Linked DNA regions of Drosophila melanogaster. The protein of the gene in region 2 interacts with the protein of the main gene of each other region in a pairwise test. Each region holds a gene or a part of one and is shown on either strand. Other genes may lie near its edges. The genes, in order: CG34376, spab and CG13066.

The links.
Region 1: the proteins of spab (region 2) and CG34376 interact in a two-hybrid assay, tested with the Drosophila melanogaster proteins (one large-scale study listed by BioGRID).
Region 3: the proteins of spab (region 2) and CG13066 interact in a two-hybrid assay, tested with the Drosophila melanogaster proteins (one large-scale study listed by BioGRID).

The regions. Positions count from the first base shown.
Region 1 is NT_033777.3:22,445,232-22,452,104, forward strand, and holds the start of CG34376 (uncharacterized protein), read left to right. Parts: upstream 1-2,867; 5' UTR 2,868-3,184; coding exon 3,185-3,389; intron 3,390-6,873. Other genes in the region: CG12499 (uncharacterized protein), read right to left, coding at 1-855, 908-1,301; CG34288 (uncharacterized protein), read right to left, coding at 1,741-1,904, 1,970-1,985.
Region 2 is NT_033778.4:8,961,429-8,970,722, reverse strand, and holds spab (space blanket), read left to right. Parts: upstream 1-2,538; 5' UTR 2,539-2,568; intron 2,569-5,188; 5' UTR 5,189-5,246; coding exon 5,247-5,507; intron 5,508-6,237; coding exon 6,238-6,364; intron 6,365-6,717; coding exon 6,718-6,946; intron 6,947-7,002; coding exon 7,003-7,108; intron 7,109-7,167; coding exon 7,168-7,182; 3' UTR 7,183-7,559; downstream 7,560-9,294. Other genes in the region: flz (filzig), read left to right, coding at 1-111, 180-295, 360-479, 541-705.
Region 3 is NT_037436.4:16,270,118-16,274,966, forward strand, and holds CG13066 (uncharacterized protein), read left to right. Parts: upstream 1-2,791; 5' UTR 2,792-2,849; coding exon 2,850-2,861; intron 2,862-3,060; coding exon 3,061-3,330; 3' UTR 3,331-3,491; downstream 3,492-4,849. Other genes in the region: CG34248 (uncharacterized protein), read right to left, coding at 385-681; CG13067 (uncharacterized protein), read left to right, coding at 1,223-1,234, 1,308-1,535.

The DNA.
Region 1 (6,873 bases), on a different chromosome or scaffold from region 2:
TCGCATCAAAGCAGATGCCGTGCTTGCGGGAAGTCAAAAGGACTAGCAGGAGTTCGTGAACGGCAGCCGATACCGCTTCCGCCTCCTGTGGGTTTGGAGGTATCTTAGAAACATGTTTCGATTTAGCAAACATCACCTTGAGTCCCATGGGTCCCTCCCAATCGTAGAGGCGACGCAGATTTTTGCAGCACTCTAAATCGAAAACCAGAACCTTTTTGGTCTTCTGTATTTCGGGGTTCTCCAGCACATATTGCCGTAGTGCGTTAAGCACCACGCAGACGGTTACGTGGTCATCGTAAACCAATCCCTTGGCCAGCACACCAATTAGTTGCCCTCGATCCAGGATGTTCCGGATAAGTAGAGTATTGCCCTCGACCAGGAAGGCCAAAATAAAGAGAATAAACGCTTTGCGCACTGTATCCTCGCATTGGTATTCACTTTTTTCATGGGACAGCAATTTCTGCGTCACAGTCACGTTGGAAAGCACATCATACGAATTCAGAACTTGGCGGGCCAATTGAGGCTCCACGCACACAATAGCGGTGAGCAGTTTTAGGGCATTACGCCGATGGCCTAGCTGCATTGATTTCATTTGATTTTCGAGCACTCCTCCGTGAACCTTGAGAAAATATCTACACCCGTGGACAGCCGACTCCATGTGGCTCTTCTGGTTGGTAAGTATTTCCATCAAAACTCGGTGCAAAGCCTCTGTGAGGTAGTCCACGTGAAATAAATTAGTCTTATCGATCCTTTCGAATGCTTCTGCTAACTCCAAGGGCTTTCCACGCTTTTCTATGTACTTAGCCGCAAGCTTAGGACGCGTGGTTGAGCACATGTGCAGGAAGTGTCGCAGTTCTGGAATTGGGATTCGTGAGTTAGCGATCTTTTATTGAACGTATTAACCCACCTGTTATGAAGTTATTGCCGCGAAGCTTGGTTCGAAAGTGCATCATCTTAAAGTCGTTGGGAAAGTGTATGCGGGATTCTTCGGGATCAATCCCGGAATCGCGACTTATTTCATCCTCAGCCATCTCCACTTCCACCTGTTGTTCTACACTTGTGTCGGATGTCTTTGTCTTTTTAGACTTCTTCTTTGATGGAGTGGAGTCAGCAGGATCGGTTTCAGTGCTTTCCAGCGTGGATTCATCGAATGATTCCTTAGTTTTATCCTTCTTTTTCTTTTTCTTCGGTGTGTCGGACTCCTTGGCCAGTTTTTTGGGCACCTCCACTTCACCTTCATCCTCTTGCTCAGCAGTTGTCTCCTCGTGCCTTCTCTTTCTTCGATTGGGTTGAATGGCCATTTTGCTTTAATAATAATATTATAAATTATATTTGCCTATTTACAGCATAAATCGTTTAAAATTTAAGTTAAACACAAAAACAGCCGCACACACGTGCTGGCAGAGAATGGTATGACCCTTTTTAAAATACCGAAAAATACCGCCCTTGTTTCAGTGTTGTATAGGGCGACACTTGGCGCGCTAAAATATAAACTGGCGAAACAGGAAAAAAAACAGAACAGCAACTTATTCAAAGAGATTAAAGTTATGATTTAATTTACCAACAATTTTATACTCTCCAACAATAAACAACGTATTTTACTACAATACTAACTACAAAGGGTGCACAACTTTGAAAAAACCACATCTCGGCACGGAATGACTCATAATCCAATCTGCCATTTGGCAAATTTACAGTTTTCCCTGGACGTGAACGTTTTTTCTGTTCCTTTAACCACGTCTAGTCATCCTCGAGGGCCGCATTGGTGGCTCCTCCAGATCCATATCCAGATCCTGCAGGAGCCGTGCTAGTCACCGATCCAGAAATCGGGAATTCTGGCAGAGTGGAGCGTTGTTTGGCTGGAGCCGGCGGAACCGCGGGCAAATCGACTGATTTACTTTTGCCTGCAAGTACACAACTATTATTAGTCGCTGTTATTGCCTTCTGAAGATAGCTGCAAATCACTTACCAAAACAACAACCCATTATGGTATACTCTTTACTGATTCTCGGGACGAGTGGGCTAATTTGCTGAAAGTTCTTTGAGCACTAAATCGGGCAAATCAAATCGGTGGCCAATTGACTGGGTGCGTATGTGTGCACCTGAGGCGTACAAACGACTCATGGCTAATTGATAAGCCCTGCTGTTACTTTTATTCTCTTTTTGTTTAAAATGTAAAGTGGGTTATTTATGACACCATGGGTAGGTCTGCTATCAACAGTGTAGTTCCCCATCGGCCGTATTAGCATCGTGCAAAGAACCGTAGAACTGTGATAAAAGCGGACAATGCCGGTCGGATATAACCGCAACGAAGCGACCAACAAACCAATTGCGATAAGCTCTTATCAGGGGAAAACGTTTTCAATGCTCTCTAATTGGCGCTAAATATTCAATTGTCGTTATGATATCGTTTATCGAAAAGGCTATCGATTGAAAATTCCGCTCTTGTGGGCCAGATTTCAAAAACGCTTAGAAGCATTTGACAATTCAAGCAATTTACGTAGTAATTGCGAACATTTTTAACAAATTAGTAGTTAACATACATTTTACAAAAATATATATTTGCAGGATTTATAATCTCTTTAGAATTATTATTTCTGTATAAAATCCCAGAATTTCATTCCTCTCTAACGTTTTTCTTTGTGATAACAGTTTTGATTGTTAATCAAATTTTTATAGCTGGAATTAAAGTTCAGCAAACATTTTCGTTTGTTTACCAGTGGCCAGTGAGACCGTTCGCTGTGGCGCCTAAAAAACCAACATTTCACTGTTCCTCAAAGTGCGGGGGGGTGGTGCGTTCATTATCAGCCGGAACGTAAACAGCGTCGCTGCTTTTCACGCTTTCCGATAAAAATGTTTAAATCACACTGTGTTAATTAGAGCCCAAATCAAAATCAATGCGCCCGTGGACGCGAACGACTCGAGATCGTGTGCGCGTGAATGCGGATCGAGTAGTTGGTAGCTAGTTTATCAAATTCGAACCCTTGATATAATAAAAATAAAGGTGCGCGAGAATACGTGAATTGCGATTTTTGGCCCGTGAACGAATCACGAGCAAAGCGGATAAACAAAAGCCATAAAAAACAGATTCGCACGAGAATCATCGCAAAAGTCTGTGCGCATAAATTACGCTCCCCAATTGGAATTGGAAAAGTCTGGTTTTCGGCGAGCATCCGCATCCGCGATGGACGACGAGTTTAAGCTGTGCTGGAAGAACTTCCAGGACAACATAGCCAGCGGCTTCCAGAATTTGTACGACCGCGGCGACCTGGTGGACGTGACCCTCGCCTGCGATGGAAAGCTCCTCCATGCCCACAAGATAGTGCTGGCTATCTGCAGCCCCTACTTCCAGGAGATATTCACTACCAATCCCTGCAAGCATCCCATCAGTGAGTACACCGATTAGGCAGCACAAGATTGCGGCCCCATCGCCGGCGTCCCCGGTTTAAATGCTAAGTTATGCAGCGTGGCTTACATTGTCAGCGCGGCATTTATATGTGTATTTTGATACTGGGCACGGAAGTGGTCTTCCAGAAATTGGTCAAGTTTAATGTTCCGAGCTTTCGTTGCCATGCATATGGATGATCCTAATGGAACATTGAGTGCGTAACTGAAGGATTCGGGTTTCTTACAAATTGCTTGGCTCTTGGCATTGCAAATACATTGTAGACATATTTTCTTGGAATTTTAATAAGCCGGAAAAGAGTCTGACTATTCGCTGGGCTATTTCATACCCTTCACATACATACATAGTCTGTATAATGCCAGGGAAGAGTGACTGCTGGTTACTTGGTCAAGCATATTCCCCCAGAAATCGGTCAGTTTATCACTGGGACAGCGGTGTCAGTTTATCGAGGAGCCCGCCCGTCAGCCTGTCTGTTCATCACTCTTGTCAAACGCTTAGATATAAATCAACCTTTGTGTTAAATTCCATGACACATTCGGTGGTTATCAGCCCAGCTCCACCGCCAGTTCGATTCCGAGTTCCAGACGAGCGTCCCAGCACGACTACGTCTGTCTTTACAGTATCGCTACCATAAATCCAACTATACCCGCCCTATTAACTTTACACTTTATTTCATAAGCCTAACTTGCCTTTTTTTTAGCATACAAAGTAATCAATCGAATAATATTGTTAGTCGTTTGATGGATCGCCCATTAAAATTAAGTAGTGCAGCGATATTAGGAAGATTATAAATCGTTTATGCAAATGCATTAAGGTTTATCCAGCCTACAGTTATCTAAAGACTTTGTAATGAACTGTAATCATTTGATAACCGATTTGATTTACTAATCCAATTCAGGGTAATATAATCCAATTCGTAATATCTGTCCGTTTCTGATTCATGTTCCAGTTAGTGAAGTTTGACTGTAGAGTCGTAAATCTAAAGACAAACAGCAGCAACCCACTAAGAATCGAGGTCTGGTGATAATCCTCCGGTGAGCCGGAGTGCCGCCGCGTTGTCTATGCCTGTGTGGTAGCTGCCGGAGTCCTCCGCCTCCGGAGGCACACCGGGATTGTTTACCCACGCCACGCACGGAGTATCCACCGGCGGAGGGAGTATCGTGATAAGGTCCATGGCAAGAGAGCGCAGAGTCGGAGCCGCAGCCCACTTCGATCGGATCGGGGAGATTGGGTGCGTTGCTGACCTCATCAAATGTACTTCAAATGGACTCTAGAACGGTGGTGTACTACTATTTATGTACGCTATATGGTGTATGGATATGATATCGCCGCGGCCCCTCCTGGTCGGTACGATTCCGATTTCGTTCGCAGTCGTGTTGAACACGGCTGCCTGCTGCACGGTGGCTTTATCTGATCAGGCGGCCATAAAAAATAAGGTTTTATCTTTTCAAGTAGCTGCAGGAAGGTGCTACCTACCCACAAACGCTGCTACAAGAGGTATTTCCAAAGATAAAGAATATTAATATACCCTATAAATAACGGCGAACCCAAGCGGGGGCAAGCTATTAAATGTAGACCAGCCCAGCCAACAACAGTCATCGAGGTGCTAACAAGCCAAATGGCTATGTGTTTGTTCCGTGTGTAACACGCAGAAACAACAACAATAGTCGAAATATTTTTTATCTTTTTATCGCGTTTAACAATCATTTATTGCCCAACTGAGTAACTGAGTGCCCGCCCGCCCACTCCTTCACCCTTACAGCCACTCGAAGAATTTAGTTTAGTCGAGATATTGATTAGAGAGCCTCGCAACATATATACGTGTTTCCGCTGCTCCGGACGTGTAAATCAATCCACACTGTGCCGTTCCAAGTGGTTATATCTGGCCAACAGTCACAGTCCCCAATACAATGCTAATCCTCCAAAATTATCTATTTATTATTGGCATAAACAAGACGGACATAGCTCAAAGAAGCTGGGGTCGGAAAAATCGAATTTTTGAAATTTGAAAGCTGGAATCGTTTGCCCATTTTTTGCCCATGTTTGCCCACCAATTAGTTTTTTTTGCCCACGTCCAGTTTTTGAGATATGAATTTTCGAAAAAGTTCGAAAATTTTCGAAAATCAAAAATTTCGCTTTTTTCAAAATTTTTTTTTTTTAAATCGCAATAACATCGTTTGCCCACGTTTGCCCACCCTTTAGAATTTTGAAAAAATGTATACTTTAGAAAATATAAGGCTTTTAAGTTTACCTCGGTCTAATCAGAGAGTAAATCGTTTGCCCATCTCTTAAAACCAAATATTATCAACAAAAAACGTTTGCCCAACAATTATTATTAGTTTTTATCGTTTGCCCACCCTTTAAAAAACCTTTAACAAAAATTTTTTTTCGATTGCCCACATTTAAAATACAACCAATTTCCTTAGCCAACCTCTTTAAAATAAAAATTTCCAATAAAAAAAGTTTGCCCACCATTTAAAACTAAATAATTTCGATTGCCCACCTTTTAAAACTAAATAATTTCGTTTGCCCATCCTTTAAAATTCATTTTTAACGTTTGCCCACCCTTTAAAAATAAATTATTTCGTTTGCCCACCCTTTAAAATTTGTTTTTTTCGTTTGCCCACCTCTTAAAAATGGTTTTTTCGATTTTTCACCTATTAAAAATAAATTTGTACATATGTATGTAATAATTGTAAGATGTGGCGTCAAAAGCACAGTTACTTACAAAAGAACAGTTATTTACATATTTACATACATTTTCAATATATCCATAGTGTTAATCATTCATGAATTGTAACATCAATTTTTCTTAATCATTGTTTCATTTCATGGAAAATATTTTATATTGCAATATAATATATATGCAAAAAAATGTATGTATGTTTATCAACACTCTCCAAGCTCAAGAAAATTCTGGAATAAAATATTTTCGAAATTATTTAGTTTTAAGAGTGGGCAAACGAAAAAAACAAATTTTAAAGGGTGGGCAAACGAAATAATTTATTTTTAAAGGGTGGGCAAACGTTAAAAATGAATTTTAAAGGATGGGCAAACGAAATTATTTAGTTTTAAAAGGTGGGCAATCGAAATTATTTAGTTTTAAGAGTGGGCAAACGAAAAAAACAAATTTTAAAGGGTGGGCAAACGAAATAATTTATTTTTAAAGGGTGGGCAAACGTTAAAAATGAATTTTAAAGGATGGGCAAACGAAATTATTTAGTTTTAAAAGGTGGGCAATCGAAATTATTTAGTTTTAAGAGTGGGCAAACGAAAAAAACAAATTTTAAAGGGTGGGCAAACGAAATAATTTATTTTTAAAGGGTGGGCAAACGTTAAAAATGAATTTTAAAGGATGGGCAAACGAAATTATTTAGTTTTAAAAGGTGGGCAATCGAAATTATTTAGTTTTAAGAGTGGGCAAACGAAAAAAACAAATTTTAAAGGGTGGGCAAACGAAATAATTT
Region 2 (9,294 bases):
CCAAGAATGTCAAGCGCGTCATTGTCCACCGGCAGTACGATCCAGCCACGTTTGAAAACGATCTGGCCCTGCTGGAACTGGACAGTCCAGTGCAATTCGATACCCATATAGGTGAGTTTCATATCATATACATATGTATACTTTAGTAAGGGCTAATCTATTCCTCTTTTCGCCAACAGTGCCCATTTGCATGCCCAATGATGTGGCGGACTTCACTGGACGCATGGCGACAGTGACGGGATGGGGACGCCTTAAGTACGGAGGTGGAGTTCCCTCCGTTCTCCAGGAGGTGCAGGTAAGCACGCAGTGAACAGAGTGTCCTTTAAATTGCGAACTGACCCGGGGCTAATTTAAATTAGGTGCCGATTATCGAGAACAGCGTTTGCCAGGAGATGTTCCACACCGCTGGACACAACAAGAAGATTCTCACCTCCTTCCTGTGCGCCGGCTATGCCAACGGACAAAAGGACTCGTGCGAGGTAAGCTCGGTGAACTCTTTTCTTTTGAAAATGTACCCTAATCCGTCTCACTATCCGACAGGGCGACAGTGGCGGTCCGCTGGTGCTGCAACGACCGGATGGACGCTACGAGTTGGCCGGAACCGTTTCCCACGGCATCAAGTGTGCGGCGCCGTATCTGCCAGGTGTCTATATGCGCACCACCTTCTACAAGCCGTGGCTGCGCAGCATAACGGGCGTGAAATAGGTAGTCGCCTCCACAGTTTTCAAGTTTCTCCCCATCCCAGAGATGGCCAGCGCCAACTAACTGCTGAGGCAGGAGCACCAAGTGTAAATAGAACGTAGAGTTTTAAGAGTCGCGGCTAGAAGCGTGGGAAAGTTGGCTCATCCTTTGCGACGTCGCATCTTCGGACCCCTTCCTCGAACCCCCTCCATGCTACCATCATTTCATTAGCTTAATAGAAAATCAACTGCAGCATTTCAAACGACATTCGCCGGGTATTTCCACATTCCGAGTTAGCGACATTTCGCTTGAGGATGACTGCAGATTTCGTTTTTTTGAGTACGCGTGCCTAACACTTGTAGAGTCTGAATGAGAATTACGCTGATTGCAAAACGTAGGGATAAGACATATTTATTCTAGTTCTAAGCCTATTTATTTGACTATTTATTTATTTATGTGACGTGACGTGAGGAAGCGCGACGATTTGTGCGTTTGATTCAACTAAAAAAATTGTTATCTTCATAGGCAAATTGTTGTTATGTTCAAATGAGAGCGAGAGCAAATGTTTTTAGTTCAATTGAATTTACTAATTTATCGATTTATATTATTAATTCTTTTATCTAAATATGTTAATTGTTAAGTGAACGAACCAATCGAAAAAAAATCGAAATAAACGACATACATTTTAGTAAAAACAAACAAAGGGGTTGCATTTGTAAACTATGATTTCAGAATTTTCTCCAGTAGCTAGCCTTAAAAGTAACTAAAGGTTAAACTTTTATGTATGTATTTTAGCATTGAATGTCAGCTTTACAAAACTCAAAGAGCGGTGGAATTCTTGACATAAACTGAGCTGTAGCCTTGATGCAATTTCCGCCACGCGAGCTTGCTCTCCTTTTTTTGAAAGTTGCCACTTCAGTCAGCCCTAGCTTTTCCCCATTGGGAATATTGTATGTGGTTGCGCCTGGGAGCTTCTGTTTCAGCTTCTCCAGATGTCAATGCTGCTGCTAAATCGACACTAAAGCCACAATCCTTTGGCACCATCTTCATTATTCTATTTAATCACACAGAATTGTTAGCATTTTACCAGCTATTTATTCCATAATTTGTGTCCCTAAATATTATATCATGTGTGAGTAATTCACTGTTAAGAGATAAATCTTTATATTATATGTAGTCCCTGACCAATAACGTATATTTTAAAAACTAAACTGAAAACCAGTCTTTGAGCAATAACTTTTATTCTATTTGAAATAAAATCTAAGTTAACTAAAGATGTTGTTAACATTCAATACAGATCATTCTCATCTCGTGCAGCACTAAACATAATTTACTGGCAAATAAACGTAAATTAATTATACAAAGTACACACAAGTGCAACGCTATTTCCACTCCACGTGGCCAAAATCATTTCCTCATCGAACATTCAGAGCGAAGAGTGAGTGGCATGAGCATACAGCTCTCATTATCCTGATGCACGGAATGTCCTGGAGGGCAGACTCTTTTTATCTCGTTGGGGCAAGCAAATTGCGTGTTTTCCATTTAACAGATTTGCCTGCAGGACAGCCACTCCGAATCAAGGATCCCATTTTGGTAACAAGAGGAGGCTCATTAATTTTGCACCGCTGCCACAAATCACAGTGACGTCATGGCCGAAACTCCCGCAGCCAAAACTCAAAACACACATACACGGGGTATGGTGCGGGCGGAGGGGAGACTCCATTAAAACTGAATCCTAGGAGCTTTGACTGCGCCACAAACACACTTAATTCATAAAAATCCAACTAAAAGCTTCGTAGCCAAAAAGCTCCTTTCCGGCAGCTAGCCGACAGGTGTTGTTTGAGCCATTTCAGACATTCAGTAGCCGACAGGACGCCCAGCCAGCAGGTATGTTGTGCGCCATAAGGACCCCATCCCTCCACCCCGTTCGCGTGCGGCGAAAGTGAAAGTTGACACGTGTATTGGTATAACCAACTCCTTCCTGCCCATGGAATGGCGCAGGACAACTGTGCACCTGCACTTTAAGTGCATCCACGGGCGTGTCGCAGTCAACTACGGCAAATCATGGTCTAATTTCCACCGCGAACCGTTTTTTCGCACTTTAAAGTGGGTCGAGCGTAGGTGGAATTGAGTGGTTGAGTTCAGGCTAAAGCGTAGATATGGAACTGGATATGCCACAAAATGGAATGCCATTACCGGCACAGTGCGTTAGTTAGAGCTAATTCGGCTGGGATTTGATCCCTTTCATTTGATCATTTTTATCTGGTATGGCGTAAAGTGGTGCTTTGTCGAGTTGAATTGCTTTCCACTAAACTTGTTGCTTTTAAATACGATTGCTTAAGCAGGTATAAGAAATGTTGATTTGTCCGTGGAGATCATGCATATAAGTTTTTTTTTAGCACACTTCAGAACCTTGGCAATCCCAAGGTTATTCGCATCTTATATATGTACATCTTGTATACTTAACAAAACTGATGCATTCCCAAGAGAAGACTTTATGATCAGAAACAACGAATCTAGTATTTCTTTGATATCCTTAGTAATACATTTTGCAAATTTTAACTTGTCAGCTATATAATATAGTGGTCCAATTCTGTCCTTTCCGACTTATATTCTGCAATAGAAATGCGACGCATGACAGACATGCCAACTTCATCGCTTCAATATGAATGATTACTTATTCCAACTTTTAATAGTTCCCATGATCTAATAGTTCATACGGACAGACAGACATACAGATGGATATATAAACAATTGTATATTTCATGGCATCTGGTGTACCTTCTGATTATATTCCCTTCTAAGAAATACATTAGCCCTTTCAATAGAATATTTATCGCAATGATCACAGCAAAGGATCTTATTTGTAAGGGCCAAGGTTCGCAGCAAGCATAATTCTCGGAAAAGGTAAAGTTTATGCTCAATTAAGGAACTTTTATCGACTCATCGCCAAAGTGCTTCCAAACTAAAGCCACCTTCCAATCATTGGCAAAGTTTCGGAGAATTTGTAACTATAGAAGAAATACTAATTGCAAAACTTTCCAGTGGCCCAATGCAATTAGAAGTATTTAGCAGCGGATAAAGAAGTCACGTCGCAAGCATGAGCACTTTGGTAAATTAAAGGACGAAAGACACATGGATCAATTTCAATTTCCCTAACGGGTTAAAAAAACAGGACGCCCTTTTTGGGCTGAAACTCAATTAGTCAAGATTTAATAACAGGCTATGGATGACTCCTGTCCTCGGCAACCAAAAGGTCAAAATGCTTGGCAACAAACCCGCGAACTGGGACGACAAGAACTTTGACGAGCCGCGTCCAGTGAAAGTGTGAGAAAGTAATTATAAAAATGCTAAAGGAGAATCATAAAGGGACTCCGCGTTTGTTTAGTCAACCACATTGGCCTGAACCGCCTTCGAAGGCAGGAACATTAATGAAATTGCACTCCCACGCCGGATATTCGTGTGACAGCCGGAAAATATTTTCCCTGGCCTTCGGTGAACCCATTGCCTTTCACCCACTAACTTATTAATGGATGAGTGTTAACAACTGTTGTCAATCGACCGTCCAAAGAAGGTCTAAATCAAGCCAAAAGTATCAAGGTCGTCTGTGCAGCTACAAAGTGCCACCCCAATAAGTAGGCAATTATATATAACAATCTAGCTCGATTCTATTTTAAGGCCAAAATGATGCTATTTCAGTTGAGGGACGAACAGTTACCACTAAGTCGACTTAGTACGCATAACGTAACCCACATTAGAAGTTATTTAAAAGCTGTTTGAGACTGTTCATTCGTTTGCTAGAAGCTTTTGCATAAATTGTTTTAATTACTTTTCCTGGGGGAAGTCATCACGAAACTGAATACAATTAACAACATTTAGCAAATGAAAGGAAAATTCACTTTGAGCTTTCGTGTTCTCCCAGGCAGGCTCAACTTTCACATGTATTATAATTTCCTTTTAAAACTTGCAAATATGAATATTCTTTAAATGTGCATCTTTAATTGAGTTTAATGAAATACTTGAATAAGCTAAGTTTCCATTTCCTTTAATTTTTAACGATTCTTAACTTATACCTTCGGCATACATTAACGATTTTTGCTTATTTGGTTGATGGCTTATTAAGCTAACGTGCAAAAGTAGGCAATATGCTAAAATTGCATAATTTATTGTTACCCACCGACTTTATATGTGAGCCTTTCATCAGGCCATACAAATGGAGACACGAGAGTGAACCAAGTCTGAGAATACATAAATTAAGGCACAGCCGGTAATATAATAACGCTAAAAGCAAGCCGACAATTTTAATGAGCTGCCCGACGGGGATATTTGCCGGGAAAACGTTAATAGAACCGCTGATGCGATTCTGAGCTGGAAGACAGAGATTTATATGCCCCACGCTCCACTCGAGCGCTTGAACACGGAAGTTTGCTCCTCCCGGAGGTCAGCAATCGACTCCTGGGCGGGCATACGTTTTAATTAAGCGTGTACTCGGTTTCCATTTTCACAGTTCATCGGGAGAAGGAGAGCGGGCTTTCCACTAGTGATGATGTACTAACGTGACCACTATGAGCATTTTTCCGAGGTGGGCAGCCATGCTGCTGCTCCTGGGCCTGGCCCACCAGCTGGACCCCTCGCTCGCGGCGTCCGCATCCTCGTTCGCATCCGGAAACGCCTGGCAGCGCGCCCTATTTGGCCGGGAATCGCGCAACTTGATGCACCGCAGAGCCCCGTTTTCCGGAGCCGCTGATCTGGGCCTTGACGAATACCTGGGCCCCTATGGCGCCGTCGAGCAGGAGCAGCACCAGCCGCATCCTCCGCCGCAGCAGGTGAGTGCATGAGTGGAGGTTGTGATTGCAGGTATTTGCAGGACGAAACTACAGGGTATGTGTACAGTAAAACGGGATGATGGGCAATGTCTGCAGCTAGGAAAATGGATTCGTTTATCTAACGAAGTTTTTAAAGGAAGGCTGAAAAGCTATTTCGATTGTAAATTGTCTAAACCAACAGACAGGACAATTTTCAAGATTTAGTTTTATTTCAAGTAATTTTAATTTATTAGAAAAGCATGAAAAAAACTCTTTTACTTTCTGATTTAAAAACAATCTTTTGAGCATACGATTTTAAAATTCAAATGAATGTGTGCTCTTGAAAAATGGCAATCTTTTAATGCATGGAAAAAAGATTCCTGGCTTAAGCAGCTAGAGGCGACTCCCAAACTCAATAAAAATCGCACCACTCGAACACATCTGAAAACGCATACGCCGTGTGGGCGTGCCACAAATATCCGAAGGCGTCTGGCGCCGTGTTTTGCAGCAATTTGAAATTGGAACCCGTATGCTTGTATGGTTTTATTGGCCCACTGGATCAATGGTTTCAATCAACGGAAATTTCAGAGTTCGCGCTGAAACTCAAATTAATTAACGCGCAACGAGTGTCAGCGTTATTGATAGCCAACCAACTGCTGCAGCGCAGTAAGGGGATATACATATAGCGCATACGCACCGTGCGCCCAACAAATGCCACACTAATTGCCACCGCACTCGACCTTCCCCACAGATGCGCCAACAGACCGAAGTTTACGGAATCGTGGAGCCGCTGATTGAGGACACGCCCTGTGCCGACCGACCCTGCCTCCTCAACGACGATTGCTGTCCTTCCGGAGTTTGCGTCAGCACATACGGCGGTAAGTTGGTCTAATTGCACTTGGTCCGCTGTGACCCAACCCACTCACTTACACTTGGAATAGCTAATGCTGACAATAGCTAATGAGACAATACTTGGAATCATCCTAGACAAACAAAATTTTAAATATGGGATTAAAACATTTGAAAGAAAGTGGACACCAGACTGAAACTAGCATTAGGATCTACTTGGCTATTGACCTGGATCAAGAGCCTATTGTACTTTAAGGTGTTGGAAAGGTTTCTTTCTATCTATTGCACTATTTCCTTAAAAATAAGGATAAATTTTTTACATCAACTGATGCTATTCTACAACCCATTACAAAAATGTTATATAAACTCTATCATTTTGCAGAAGGCAAATGCGTATATGTCTTTGGGCGTCAGCGAGATCTGTGCCAGGGACATGCGGACTGTCCGCAGGGCAGCTCCTGCATGCTGGTCCCCCAGGAGGGAGCGTGGCGGTGTGAGCCGAGCGTGGAATCGGGAGGATCCACGTCGCTGCTGGAGGGTATATTCGGAGCGAAGGAGAGGCAACCGCTGGGCAGCGAGTGCAGCAGCAGCAGCGACTGCCAGGTGATCAAGTGAGTCCGCATAGCGCTGATAAGCCCAATTCAGGTCTAACTGTCCCACTTTCCAGCGGAATGTGCTGTCAACAGCAGCGTTTGCACCACCGGGCAGCCATTAAGCTGAGCTGTGGCTACTTTCGCGATGCCTTCGACTGTGTAGATATGGTCGGAGCAGAGGTATGGATATAGTCCAAAAACAAAAATACGAATTTGAGTTATATTATATTCCCGTACAGCATCGACGCAACTGAAGATCGCAGTTCTCGGGTAGCAAAGCTCATTAAACCGAAGGAAAGTAGCCAAACAGCAATTGAATTGGATTGAGTATGAATTACTTCAATATTGAAACATATCAAGTTGTTAAACAAATACATATCAAGGTCAAATTGCTATAGCTTAGAGCATTTGTATTTCTATAATCTGCATATGAATATTTGCTATTACTCAAACGATCTTAGACATCTAGATGTGTTTTTAGTAGAGACTCCAAATATACTGACTGAGGCATTCAATGTTAATAGCAGAAAGAAGAGTATTCCAATGCAGTTTTACCATACTTAAGCAACAATTAAATCGTTTCACGTCTAAATGTAAATCGAATACAATAAAAGCATTACCAAATATCTGCACTTTCACTGAAACTTATTTGGTAACAATATATTCGTATTTGAATGAGAGAAAGGTAAGTTAACGGATTTATTCTTGGGACTAATATATTATTAACTCTTAAAAATATATATATTAAATTGAGTTCAAACAAGTTCAAATTTTAGTAAAACAAAAACACAACTAGACGCACCTATAAACTAGTGACGAATGCACCTGAACAACATAGAAGACTTTTGATGTGGCGAAAGCACCAAGTCTTATGACCCAAAATAAACTTACATAATAAATTTTATGTTCTTGCCCAAGCAAACTTAATGAATTAATAGTTGAAAATACACCAGAAGATAGTGAATAAAAACCGCAGAAAATTCTTTACAAATATTTTCGGTTGATTTTATTTTTGTAATTTTATTTAAAGTGCCATTAAAAACGCAGCTTAAAGCTAAAAGTTAGACTCTGTTTACACTTTCAACGCTTTTGTTTTTAACATTACACCCAAGTAAATCATTCCTCCTTTCGTTCTTCAACTCTCTGACATTCTATATATCTCTCATGATCCAATCCATTCACGAATAATACACATTGCAAATGCTTTCGTCCCTAACTTTATGGCTGAGACACTTACTTCGCTTACTTGAGCCTAACATAAACCGCACAAGGTGCATCGTTTTAGTTCTTGAATTCTTGTAAATTTCGAACCAAAAGTGTGGTTTGCCAGCAAAATAGGATTTATTTTTAAAATTAATTTTTATATGTTTTTTGCGCATGTTCAAGTCTTTTGTTGATTTTATGTTCTTCGGTTTAAATTGAATCTTAAACTCAGTTTTTTTTTTAAGTTGTTTTTGGTTTGGATCAGGGACTAAGGTCGTGGGCTTTAGGAAGTGCCCCACTTCGGAGGTTGTATTGGGGGTTAGTCTTAAGAACAACTTTCGGCTTAAACTTAGCTTGGAACAGTCAAACAAATATCAAGTCCGCTATCCTTCGAAACTTGTCTCTCATTTTTTGTTTGACTCGCATGCACTGAATGCACAGATTATTTACAGATTTTACAATTACAGGAATAGTTTCAAAACCTAAATATACGTACGCGAATAGAGCTATAAATTTAGTTTAGATTTGTTTTCCAAAGAAATCGATTGTGTTCGTACAGGATGTGATTAACTTCAGTAAAGCTTAAATTAAATTAAAATAGGAAAGTAAATTTCGCAGACCGAAAAAATAACAATATGAAGGTACTATTTAATCATAACCCTAATTACAATCTTTCTCTTACTCTTAGCTTACATCGAAATGAATAAAATGTTAATTAATGTTTACTTTAATCTCTCAGCTGGCGTGTATTGATGGTCAAAGGAAACATGGGTTGTATTGAAACTACTATTGCATTCTGGTAATGGACTGTGTTTTCACATGTATACATTGATAATGGACTCATTTAGCTTTATGGCATTTGATGTGAGATTTAGTTGATTTATGATGTTAAACATATGGTGTGACCCGGAATTAGCGCACCCAAACTCTGTGCACAGGATTAAATTAATGGTTTAGGTTTGTTCACGAAACATTTAGTTCCATACAATTTATAATAGAAGCAAATATAGTATACAATTCATATATATATGTATATAAATTTATATATACCATGTAAAGTTATAGTTTTGTTTACTTATTTATGGCTACAATAAAATAGGAAGAACAAGCTTTGGTTATAAAACAACAAGAAACAGGATTTATAAAGGGATATGTTCACAGGC
Region 3 (4,849 bases), on a different chromosome or scaffold from region 2:
TTTTTACTGTCACCTTTTCTAAACCTTTTGTTCTGGCAGCGTCTGTTCTGCCCACTTAAAATGCGGAAATGTAGCCCGAAAAAATACCAATTCAGTTGCGTCATCATCCATTGACAAATCACAGATGGCAAAAGTGATAGATTTCTCGAAATGTATAGGTAACCGGCATCTCTGGTAGGAGAATCACGTGTTGGCCATTTAAAAATTGCCGACTGAAAGTTGCGTCAACCCGAATAAATAATTATGCATGTGCGTGTCTAAAAATATATTTCTGGCTTAAAGCGGGCAATAACGAGTAAAATAGCAACCATAACAGGGAAAGGATTCAACAGGAGGGACAACAGTGTCCTTTGACCACCTTATGGCCAGTGGGAGGACGCTCCCCTAGGCAGCCACTATGTGGACGGGAATGGAGTTGCTGTAGCGTCCGAATGGCAGCCACGCAGCTGGGTAGAACAAAGGATAGCTCGGCGGCGGTGCAGAGCCCACAAGTGGTGGTGGCCCCAGTGGTGGTGGGGGAACAGCAGCTCCAGCTGCCTGGCGGGGCGGTGGTGGAGCAGCCCGATGGGCAGGCGGCACATCGATCTCCTCGGCAGCATCCTGGATCTGACCCGCGGCCGCCAGGTGGATCAGAAGGAGGAGCACCACCTGAAATGGCCACCGATGGCGAGGCCTCATCATCTTTGAGCAAGTGCATCGACTTCTCGGCGGATAACCGCTTGAGACTTACTAATTTCCTGTACATAGCTAATCCGAGCTGATAAGATCTGATAGCTCAACGTTCTGAAAACGAAATAAACATGACTGGAGCGACAGAACCCAGCTTTATAAATTTCTGAACCCAACCCGGCAGTTTTTGTGGGTCATTTCCAGACTTGCCGATGGATGGATCAATATCCAGCTACGTTTTAGTATGCAAAACACGGACTCACATTCGATTTGTTTTTCGCTTTTCGTCACGCTTTTAAAAATACCAAACGAAACCAAAAGTGCAAAGCCATAATGCTCAAGATTCTCCTTGGCTGGCTTCAAAATGGACTTGGAACCGATCTGGGAATGGATGTGCATACCAATGGCCACGCATCACCTTCGCTTCAATGTGGGGAATTGGAATGGAATTTTCTCGACCGATTCTGCTATATATACCCGAGTACTCGGGCACTAGGAGATATCAGTCTAGTACTTGAGAACCAACAGTTCACAACCAACCCAAACAGCCAACATGTTCAAATACGTAAGGATCGCAGGATAGCTGGACTTGCCACCAAACAACGGATTACTCATAAGCACTTTTCCTATCCTTTCAGTTCGCTCTGTGCCTGTTCGCCATCGTGGCCTGCGTCTCTGCCAAGCCGGCGGTGCTCGCTTCTCCTCTGGCCTACAGCGCCTACTCCGCTCCCTATGTGGCAGCTGCTCCTTACTCGGCTGCCTACACCGCGGCATACACCGCTCCAGTGGCCGCCGCCTACTCCGCCTACACGTACCCCTATGCGTCCGCCTACTCCGCCTACCCCTATGCCGCCTACTACCGTTAAGACTGGATGAATGGATCGTGATCTTAACCTGACTGCTGAACTGGACCTGAATATAAACATATACACATCTATTGCAACAAGGATACACACCTTCCTGCTAACCACCTGCAACATCCAATCTTCTTACATCCCTGGTGTTAGTTCGACAGACTCTACATTTCCCCACCTCTGCCGACTGCTGAAAGTTAAGTCATGGGAACAGGACATACCACTTCAAGAAAGGGAATATTTTTGTTGAAATAAATACTGCATTTTGCGTAAAACGTATACCACTTGTTCATAATTTATTGCATCACTTATTCATCTCTAATGTGAAGGGAGTATGTATAATCACATACTTTTAGGCAGTACTCTTTTGCAATGGGTACTAAGTACTAAATTTGGTATACATTAAAATCCAATGGAAATATTATTTATAAAGTAGGTGATATCATATTTTCAGTAAATATTTCTCACACTAGTTTCATAAATTGCTAGCCCCTACATTTTTTAATTTTGGTGGGCTGGAAGGAATCAATGACTTTTTTAAGCTTTGTATCAATAAATTGCTTTGATACATTGGAAATTATTTTTTGGACTTAAAACCTATTATTTGTTAAAAAAAAAGGAAGTGTAAAGGAGGTTGTGTTCTTCGTGGTGGAATGTCCATGTTTGCATTGGATTAATAGGGTCAACGAGACCTCCGGTTTATTGAACTCGCGATTCCATTTATGCAAAGCTTTCGATTCCCTGTTTCTGGTGTCCTCAACCTTAAGCCAAGGGCTCAACTCGATGACGTCCTTCGAAACTGGATAAACCGCTTCTATTTTTACTTGCATCTCTGATTAGAATGCAAAGTGGCGTGTTCGAGTGGCTGACAATTGAAACGTACAGAGTGAGCCGAACTCCGGAGATGGCCAAGACGGTTGGAATGACACGCACGTTCACAGCCCACAAAACGCACTGAGTGCTAAATTATGATAATTCAATCGGCAAACGACAGCTGCTGACGCCAGTTGCGGAAATGCTCAAGATGAGCGGGAAAAAACATTCATTTTCAATAATAAATTCACAAGGAATGCGTACTATTCGCAGGCATATCGACAAACACAAATCTGCAACATTATAATTGTGCCAGTAAAAAGAGACCAAATGTTTGGCCCTGTTTTAGCCCTGGTACGTGATGGAAATGCTTTAAACTTGCTGGGTTTTTGCTTTTTCAATGGGCTTTGTCAAGGATGCTATGTATATTTACCTATATAAACCACTTCGAACTCAGCACAAGACATCAATCAGAAGTCTAACTTCGACGCTAACACAACCAAATCAATTAAAATGATGAAATTCGTAAGTTTCCAACATTTTTTTAAGGATACAATGTTTCAAAAATGCAACAATTCACAATCCTAAATACAAACAAAAACGCGTGTGTTCGAAATAAAACTATTATCAAACAGTGTAGATTTTTCAAACAATTTTTTATATTTATAAAACTTCTTGTAAATGTGTATTTTAATGTACTTTTTGTATGCATTTTATCCTGCAGTTTGCCGTTGTCCTGTGCGCCCTGTTCGCCGCCGCTGCTGCCAATCCTGGTCTGCTGGCCTACAATGCCCCTCTGGCCTACTCCACTCCACTGGCGTACAGCTCCCTGCCCGCTGCCGCACCCCTCGCCTACACCGCCGCCTACACCCCTGCCTACGCCCCCTACGTGGCCCCCTATGCCAGTAGCTACAGTGCCCACAGTGTGGCCCACAGCGCCGCCCTGCCAGCCGTTTATGCCGCCGCCCCTGTGGCCACCATCCTCAAGAAGTAAGATGTCCCAGGATGGCAAAGGGATTCCGCAAGGCTGCCGCACGTGTCCACCGGACGTCGTCACTGCCACGGCGAAAGATACAGATACAAACAGAGATGGAGATACATGCTCGCAGGCAAACAGAAATTAAAACGCAATGCATCAGGCCCACGCACTGACCGACTGAGAAGTGAATCGAGTTTTATTCCTTCCGTTTAATTTTAATCTTGCCGTGGGCATCGGGACTTTTCTTCAAAGGAAACAGATAGTGCAGGTTGCTCTTGGGAAGCGCCGTCTTATTGCAATAGATACCTGGATGGGAAGTATATATATATAGCTTTAGTTTGTGGTATTACATAGAATTATAAGTTCAAGATAAGGGATTTCATTTGAATTATTAACGAGTGCTGCAAGCTTTAATTTTTAACATTTGCAATGGTCACCAGAGCACTTTAAACTATTATATGATGAGAAGAATGAATTCGTTTAAGGTTAAATCAGGCCACCATTTTCATTAGACAGCTCCCATATGACAGAGTGCCCTCCAAGGGTGTGCCCAACTCTGGCCTGTTTGTGCGCCCACTTTGGTTCATCGACACTTCGCCACGTTCCAGGACGCAATCCTTGAGCTTTGTTTACGCAGTTCGCACCCCCTTAGCCCTGATACCCCCCTGACCCTTCGAGGTCTATGTGGCCAGCTCGCGGCACATTGTTTATCACTTTGATTGCAAGTTGCGTGTGTGTTGGCTTAGAGGTCAATGCATTTCCATCGCCACTGCGAATATGGTACTACATTGAGGGGCGCCGCTTAAATTGCATTTTGCTAATCACCCGCCATCGATAAGTTGAACGAAGCCACGCCTCAAACGAACCCACCACGCCAACTCTGGCATTAATCATACGCCGCGTGCAACCGTCGAAAAGTATGAAAATCAAATCAAGCGAACGACATTTAACTAAGAAACAACATTTTGCAAATTAATTCAAGTCTTTGAGTTGCTGATTCTCAATTCTCCTCGATGCTTTCAACGCTTTTTATAGCCCTGTAAAAGCTGAAAAACGCCTCATTCTGCACGTGCAGTTGCACTTCTTGCAGCTAATTTACTTGTTTTGTGGCTGTAGTCGGAAAATTAAATTAAAATTTAACGCTGCCTTTTGTCTCGATGGTCACGCCCCATTAATCAGCTGCCCCCTCGCGAAACATGCGGCGATTTATAATTGCCGAAGCCCCAGAAGTTGCACTTAAACGTTCCGTTTCCCAGGCTTTACTGGAGTGGGTACTCTATGAAAGAGTTTGGGGGTGGGGTGTGTAAGCTTAAATTAACATAAGTTAAATATTGTCAAATAGTCTAATTTAATGCTTAAATGTTGTACTTTAGGTAAGTGTGTTTATAAAATTAGTTTCAAATGCTCTCTTGTCGTAGTATTCAGTTAAGGTAAGTCTATACCGTGTCTGAATTGAGGATATCAAAATATTTGTTTTCTAACTTTATAAGTAAGTATAAATATATATGGTTTTTGGATGCAACTCAGTTCTTAA